Schizosaccharomyces pombe: one gene and its partner. Changing the gene in region 1 together with any one later gene gives a genetic interaction. Each region holds a gene or a part of one and is shown on either strand. Other genes may lie near its edges. The genes, in order: prp31 and spo20.

Region 1 (4,433 bases):
TAAATCAAAAGAGTACGAAGATTTGCAAAATGAGTTAGATGCTACACAGAAAAGGCTTTCAAGGGTCTCTGATTTGGAGCACGAGGTGAAAGAAAAAACCCTACTTATTGGTAAACTGCAGCACGAGGCCGTTGTTTTGAATGAACATCTTACAAAGGCTCTCTGCATGCTTAAAGATGGAAATAATGCAGAAAAAATTGACAAACAACTTATTTCTAATTTGTTTGTCTCCTTTTTGACGCTTCCTCGCGCTGACACTAAACGTTTCGAAATATTGCAATTAATTTCTTCCGTGTTAGATTGGAACGATACGCAAAGGGAACAAACGGGACTTCAACGTCCTGGTTCCTCTGTAAATAATTGGAGTATTCCTCACAGTGCGTCCTCTAACTCTCTATTCTCCGATCATTCCTTTTCCAAAAGACGTTCTTTCCATGACTCATAATTTTCTTCCACACTAACCGATAATTTTACGTTTCAATTGAGCAATGGTATGAAAGATTTTTCTTTTTTCTGTAAATAATAATATCTTTCGCTCTTTTTATGTATCGCTTTTTTTTTTCTTACTTCACAACTTAATTAGGGGTTACCTTTTGCCGCGCGTACAAGGTTTTAGTATTTTTTTACTCTCTTTTCACACATTTTGAAGGTTGACTATATCATTCTTGAAGTAATAGTTTCATACGTTCATTTTGATATTTTGCCTTCTCCTGCTATGCCTAGCTTTATGGCAAAAGCGCTTGTTGCAATTTCATCTATTAGTCAATATTCTTAATTTTCAAAATTGTTTGTTAATATCAGTTTTTTCGAAGAATTTTAAAAATATCATTTTATTTTAATCACTCAGGTCATAGTTATGGTCTGTATTACTAGTATGCAAAAGCAACATAGCTATATGCAAAGTAACTAATCATTATGAAGACATTATTATGAAAATTTATTTTTCGGCTCATTAGAATCCTTCTTTATCTGTGTAAAAACACCATCACGAAACCATTTGTTGGCCTCTTCTACTTTTTGTTGTCGTTGAAGTAAGGGGTTCACTAGTTCAATGCCTTGAATAGGTGTGAAGGATAATGAACTTTGTAAACCGCTTGCAGCAAGGGGATTCTTCTGTGCCATTGATTGTAGTTGGGCCTTCCGCGCTTTTGGTAACCGTAATTTAGTTCGAGAATCAATTGACACTGCACGAATTTTTCCTTCACCTTCTTGACCAAGCATACCAAGACCTTCCGTTTCGTCAAAATTAAAGACTTCCGCCTCCTCCTTACCAAAGGCGACGCGATTCTGTAATCTCCGCAATTCCGTTACGGCATATTGCTCTTTCATCTTGCGAATTCTTCTTCCTCCACGACGACGTTTTGGCCTATCGTCAGGAACGGGTAGCGCAACAGTTGGTTTCTGTGATGGAGGTTCCAAAAGCTTTTCAATTTTCCGTTCAACTTCCTTTCGAGCAGATATGCCAAATGAGCCATCAGGATATTCATGAATGGAATCGATTCTTGCTGCTAAAGCAACTTTAGCAGCAGTCATTCGGATAGCTTGCTTTCGTACATCAGGAGGGGTCTTTTGAACAATTTCCGACATATACAAAAATCCATAATCCCCACTAACAGCCGGATTGTTAATACCAATTGTTGTCAGCCTCCTTTTTCCGAGCGCTGGTAAATTGCAAGCAGGAAACTTTCCAAGTCTAGTCAATCCTCCTGCAATGCCGATTAAATTGGCAGCTGTGGTAGAACCCACGACTGCAGACAAATTAGGAGCTACGACACTAATTCTTGATTGGACATATTCAATAATTTTTTGCTTTTCTTCACCCAATTGCTGAATTGCCTCACAGCAATTTTTAACGTTTTTTATCATTTCATCTGGAAGAGGCTTTCCCACTGTTGTCGTTGCTGTTGTAGCAATAACCATCACTGTAGCAGAAGGAAGAAAGGAAAGTTTGGTTTTGCTGTTGTCTAAATCATTTAACAGAGAACTAACAGTTTTGCAATAGTCAAAGGCATTCAAGACCAAACTACTTAATTCAGGAAATCGGTCATGATACCATTCCTTCACGAGTCTGTGCAGCCGCAGGATTTCATCGTCAATTTCCATCGCAATTGAATTAGAATCCACGATAAGGTGATATTCGAGATCATCTTCGATGTTTCCAGTGATAGCTTGTTTTTCGGTGCCTTTATATTTCTCAGTTCCTTCTATGATATCGCGAAGACGTGTAGAATTCAACAGCTGATAAATGTTCTCATTATTGTCATTAAATTTATTAGCAACTTCACTAGGCAATTTTTGAGCAGAATCGCTAATTTTGGTAATATCCAAATCGTTTTCTAATTCAGCAGAAATGCCATTTCCTTCCTCTAATTGTAACTCTAACCGCCTTTTCTTCGCATCTGGCCCAAGTTCATCAGTAATTGTAGATTCTGTAGTTTCCTCAATATCATCAAGATCAGCTAATAATTCATCTGCCAGTGACATTATATTGGTTAAAATCCTTGCCTAATGAAAAACTTTTTGTCAAGCGTAGTTGCCAGAAAAAGAAAAAAAAATAACAAAGCTGGTTCTGGAAGTCTAAGATTTCACTAAAAAAAAGACTAATGAATAATTCAAAAATAGGACGTAATCAGCAAACGCCAGGATAGTAATGTACAAAATAGATGTATGTGGCTATTTAATAGAACTGCAACTTTTTATAGGCTTAATAGCACTAATCGTGCAAATTTGAAGATTAATGCAAATAAATAAGTAAAAATAAGATTCAAATTCGCTTTATTGACAAGTTCCAAGTGGAGTGTCAAACTTGAACTGGCATGGGGTATTTTGCTTAGTGCTCTACACATACTAGACAACCACGTTACTACGGTCATAGGGAATTGGGATCGAAAACTGCTTGATTCATTTCTTCAAGTTTGTTAAATTTTTTTCGTTCATTTTTTTTTTCCTTGACAAGGAAATTGGTTTAATTGATCTGGAGAAAATTCATTCATTCAACAGTTTGGAAAAGTATCAAGATTACTGAATCCAACTATGTCGTCCTCTGTTAGTGAAGAATGTACCCCTGCTAAGGTAGAGTTTTCTTTATATGATAAACACTGTGGACGAATTTTAGCTGACTAAATTATGAACAGAAGAAGTATGATGCCTGCTTTAACGATTGGTATGCGAATAAATTCTTAAAAGGTGATCTCCATAATAGAGACTGTGATGAGCTCTTTGCCGAGTACAAATCATGTCTTTTGAAGGCTTTGAAAACGAAAAAAATAGATCCTCTTCTTGAAGCAGCACGCAAAGAAGATTAAAGTAAGAGCATCTTTGGATATATGATTTTTAAGGTTGCTTTGAAAGATAGCAGTACCATGGAATAAAGCTCTTCTTTTAAAACGGGTGAAAAAGTGATAAGCATCTGTGCAATTGTAAGTTTATCAGAATTGTAGGTAACGAAATATCTCTGCCATGAAGCAAGTATACACTTCTAAAGGTGTTGTTTAAGAACATATGATTCGGCATATCCTTTTGCTGGCAAACCAATAATTCTCTAAAAGGGTAGTTGACTAAGATCATACTAAGTAAAATGATATGAACATCTTTTCATTGGACTCACCTTTGTAGAAAACTTGTAAGAATATACTTATAATCAAAGAATTGAATGGTATTCCTTCTTAATTAGTCTATTTTCACTTCGACATGCAAAAACATTATTTTGGCAAAAATTCGACACCAGCAGGATTTGAACCTGCGCGCGGAGACCGCAACAGATTTCTAGTCTGTCCCTTTAACCACTCAGGCATAGTGTCCAAGTCTGTCACTAAAAAATATATAACATATACATATTAACTACATCAGTCGCAGTTAAACAATAAAAATTTGAATGAATGAAAAAAAATACTGTAAATGTCAATTGATTTTTATCATTTTTAAATAAATAAAATTTGTAACTGTTAAGTCAAATTTCGAACCTCTACGTTTAGGAAAAGCTTTGCATGAATGTTCAGTATTTTCTTTATTAGTTTTGGAACTATTGTATTCAAAAGTACACTGAGTCCAGTAGTAATCAGTTCTGTTGAGAATTTCATACTATTGATTGTAATTGATATACGGTATTAAGAAGCTGAAAGTTGAAGTGCAGTCAATTTCCTTTGTAAAACATGTCTTTCATAGTTAGGTAGCAAATTGGTATATTAGAGTTTAATTGCAGATTATTAATCAAAAACAAATTTTTACCTAAAATATTATGCGTTACGCCAAATTTTGAGTCGTTAACCTAGCAATTGCACAAGGGCAAACAATAAAAACGAGTGGGTGATGGAATTAATAAGACCAGGTTTGTTTTTGCTAGCTTCTGCAGCGCAGTTTATTTATAGAAAATATTGTTATTATTTTTAGTTAATGAAAATTTGGGTTTTTTTATATATAATTTTCCTAAGAGT
Region 2 (4,130 bases), on another chromosome or scaffold:
ATTTCTGGTTCATATGGATGTGGTAACGAGTTTTTGAGACTAGGGTCCAATTTGACTTGAGCGATAATCTTTTCGAGCGGTACTAACGAATGTGGTTTTTCAGTTAACTTCCAAGACCACACAAACTCCCTGGAATTATTAGGCTGTACTCGAAACCTTAATTGAGGCTTAGTAAGATGAGCTGCGTGAATAACCTTGTAGGGCAACTTTTCTTTCTTTGGTTTTTTATTGGCAACATCGCTTGTCGACGCATGGGTTTCGATCGCTGGCTTTTTTAAAAGTCCTTGAGCTTTATCGATAGAATAGTCCTATATTCATACGTCTTAGTTAAATAAAATCCGTTTACAATTTCAAAAATTCACTTACAGCTTTTTCAAAGAGTATGTCTAATGTGTCCGATACTTCTGCCCATCTATTATCTATATCTTCAACGTCCACAATATCCTCCGCCCGACTTCTGTCTACTTTAGAAAGAAGCAATTCAATTAATCTCATAAAACGAGAAGAAACACTTTTTATGTTTTCATTGAATTCGGTATCAATTGATTTATAAAACGGTATATCAACCTTTGCCAATTCAGAGCAATAGGCTGTACTATTCATTAAACCCTTAAACAATTCTGACTCATCCATTATGCTATTGTTTACCCTACTGGATCAGTAAGGTTTTTGGTTTGGTTCAGGAATTTTCAAGCACTTTTACCACACGCTCAACGAATTACCGAACTTGAATATAGACATCGTTAAAGTACGAAATACAAGAGCTATTTTTATATATATAAAATATTTTACACAAATGCAAAATCTTAGCAGAATTATGTAAAAGCAATTATTTATGATTAGTTCAAAATTGTGAAACTATTAGCAGGCAACTATAGAGAGGTCTTTTATAATATAGGCATTCAATTTTGATCAAAAAGTAAAAAAATAATCAAAGTAGATGAATTACAAATTTAAAAACTTCGGATAATCTAGAATGGATGAAACAATCAAATCAGTTGGATCATCGAGCGTCCTTTTTTGGAAAATTAATGAACGATATATGTATTGAGACCTTCTATAAGGATTAAGAATTGTAACAGCAACCATCCCATGATGTTGATGATGGATCAACACATGACTTTCGAAATAAAATATTTATATATGCTTCGATCTATATACGATAATTTCGTCGAATAGTAAACCGTAAGTAGAAGGAAGTACCTGAGATGCTGAGTAAAAATAGAACGAAGACCTTTAAGAACTAAAACGCAGAACAAAGTTGAAAGATCGGCAAAAACTCTACACACTATTACTCTTATCAAAGGACAAACCACATTCATCTATTCTAGCAATTAAATCCCGTTCGGAGAAAGAAGTCTAATTTTTGTTCATCCACTGTTCTTCATGCCATGGACCGGCGTCAGATAGTTCGCAGCCACCTGGACATTGGCAGTTTCCACCGAGTTTAGCAGGAAGATTATCAGCAGGGATTTGTTCGAGCAGAGCACTCTTATAGTTTGAGCCTAAAATATGAATTTTTTTGACAGTTGCCTCATCCAAAAAACCTTTGATAAGATTAAAGGCAGAAGAGAATCCCCAAGGAGCGTTAATTACATAAAACTTGCCCATCCTTTCGGGGTAATAATCTTGACTCTTTAACGTGTTAATACTTGAAAAAAAAAAAAAAGAACAAAAATTTCAACATTTTCAACTTACAATGCTTGATGCTTGACGAATGTAGCTGTAAACCGAGTGAATACTAGTAATACCAACACCCTTTAGATCCATGATTGTGCACGAAGTTTCAATCAAGCCTCCTGCTTTACGAGAACAAGCGGGCTGAAGACGGTTAATAAAGATGAAAAGAAATATCAAAATGAAAAAATATATCACAAAAAATTCAACACAGTAGAAAACCAAAAGTTTTTCTATTAAAAAGCCGAAAAACCAGCCTTATATGGAATATGCAAATCCAAAGGAAAGGTTTGATTATGAGAATTACTGGAGATACATTTAATCATTTGAATTTACTTACAAACCGTTTTAAAGCAAGCATTTCATATTCATAAACCAAATTTTGCATCATACGCTCGGGAGTCGTGATTTGGTACAACTTCTTCAAATCAATGTTACCGAGTTGCTCAACGTATACCGGACGGCCGTCGATGTCAGTTTTATGATAAAATTGAGGGTAATATTTGGAAACGGCTTCTTTCTCATCATAATGAAAGTTTTTGATAAGATCATCAACACCAAATTCTTTTCTCCACTTTTCGCATTTAATAAACATTTCCAGCGACTGTTGCAAATTAAATTTACGGGCTCTCAAAAAACGCAACTAAGAATCCATTAGTACAAACACAAAGTTTCCTGCTGTACAACTTACTAAAGTGGCATCGTCTAATCTTTCCGTGTATCCAAGTTTTTGTAACTCTAAACGCATGCTATCTAGCGTAGCTTGCTGTGTAGAATTCAAATGCCCTGGGTGCCCTAATGGAGCATTTGGATTAGTTAGAGGATAAGGATCCGATATAGTTTCTGACATCTTTTTGTTTAGACGATGGTTGTAGAGAGAAGACCTAATGACCCAGTCTGTACAAGATGTATAAAGGAAAAGGAAGAACGTCAGCGACCTTAATACTAGTGGTCATCAGCCGTGGGGGATCAGTCAAGCGTGGGGGCCTTTTACCTACTACCGCAGGAACCTTTGTTGCCATGCTACACCCAACGCTATTGTTATATGTGAGTATGAGGATAAACTTCAGTGTTAAAAATCAGATGAGAGGAAGAAGCTCCTCGTATGAGGTTTAAATTGTGTATAACCAATTTTTCAACTTGCATGAAAAGTGCGACAAATTTGAGATGCAGAATGGCCTTCAACGAGGCGTTGAAGGTAAATAAAACATGGGGAAAAAGTGACAATTTAACTTTGTGGAAGCATTTTTTCTTTACCAAAAAAAACGAACGATAGATAATGTTTATTTTATTTAAGCCTTTGAGTGCGCTTGTGGTGATTTTCTGTCATCAATATTTATGCACCTGACAGCTTTGAAAGAGTAAACCAGGCACTAAGAAGCGTTATAGTACATAGAGTATAGAATATGTAAATGGATGATCATATTGCGATTTTGAGATTGTTGTCTATGTAAAAACGGTATAGGAGTATCGTAGCTGGATATTTATGTGAAGTAAAACAGTTCAATTTTATGATTGTTCAGTTTTCGTATTATAAATGAGGAGTAGAAAATTGTCATAGAGTTGTGATTAAAAAAGAACTTTAAATAAGCAAATATAGTAAAGGAAAAGAAATTTTATTGCAAATGGAAAAATATTTCGTGAATAAGCAATTTAACAAAAAATACATATTGAAACGTAAATAAAGTAATACTATACGACATAAAAAATAAAATAAAATAAAATCTAAAGAATGAATAAAATAAATAATAATTAGACTAACAGCCACTTAAATATATATACAAAATTTTTTTAAAAACTAGTTTTGTCTCGCAAACGTAATTATTGTTTCCTTCTCTTTCGATCGAACTTCAGCCATAATTTTGAAAGCGTTTCTTCCACGCAAAGTTTAACAAAACATACAAGAGTGAAAGGCATTGCTTGAATGGACAGTCCATTTTGTACTTGCATAAAATTTTCAAGTTAGTATCAAATTTTCTACATGTTAGCAATAATACATTTATTTACATTGATTTTACCTTTAAAGACCTATAACAATATAAATTTTTGATTATTATATTAACGTTACGGAAGGATAGTATAATCGTCAAAATATCGTTATAATTTAACAAACGAATAAATGCAGGAAACAATGCATTACGCAAGCTTGTTACTAAAGGCAGGAAGCATAGTTTGAATATAGGATGAAAACCGTGGATATCAATGTTATAAGCATTTAACATTGAATAAGTATGGTAGAGGTGAAAAGAATCAGTACTACGTTTCTTAATTGGCAACCTTGCACCTCAAACCCAGCTGAAGTGTACTTTGCACACGAGTCTATTACTACATGGTTTTTTTATACATATTAAATAATAGCAATGGTTATTTGAACTGCAATAACGGTAACCCTACCCCGATATCTCCAAGTTTGAAAATTTACTGCTTTTATGAAAATTTAGTTTACAGTTTGT

The links.
Region 2: mutations in prp31 (region 1) and spo20 together harm fitness more than expected from each alone (negative genetic interaction), as found in Schizosaccharomyces pombe (one large-scale study listed by BioGRID).

What each region holds. Positions count from the first base shown.
Region 1 is NC_003423.3:741,036-745,468, forward strand, and holds prp31 (U4/U6 x U5 tri-snRNP complex subunit Prp31), read right to left. Parts: upstream 2,809-4,433; 5' UTR 2,485-2,808; coding exon 928-2,484; 3' UTR 801-927; downstream 1-800. Other genes in the region: golgin protein Rud3, read left to right, coding at 1-445; protein Mdm35, read left to right, coding at 3,034-3,072, 3,135-3,305.
Region 2 is NC_003424.3:607,389-611,518, reverse strand, and holds spo20 (sec14 cytosolic factor family, phospholipid-intermembrane transfer protein Spo20/Sec14), read right to left. Parts: upstream 2,551-4,130; 5' UTR 2,528-2,550; coding exon 2,369-2,527; intron 2,321-2,368; coding exon 2,018-2,320; intron 1,991-2,017; exon of another isoform or gene 1,822-1,990; coding exon 1,699-1,821; exon of another isoform or gene 1,677-1,698; intron 1,636-1,676; coding exon 1,360-1,635; 3' UTR 816-1,359; downstream 1-815. Other genes in the region: exosome 3'-5' exoribonuclease subunit Rrp6, read right to left, coding at 1-308, 367-633. UniProt on the Schizosaccharomyces pombe protein: Required for transport of secretory proteins from the Golgi complex. Catalyzes the transfer of phosphatidylinositol and phosphatidylcholine between membranes in vitro. Essential for viability and secretion.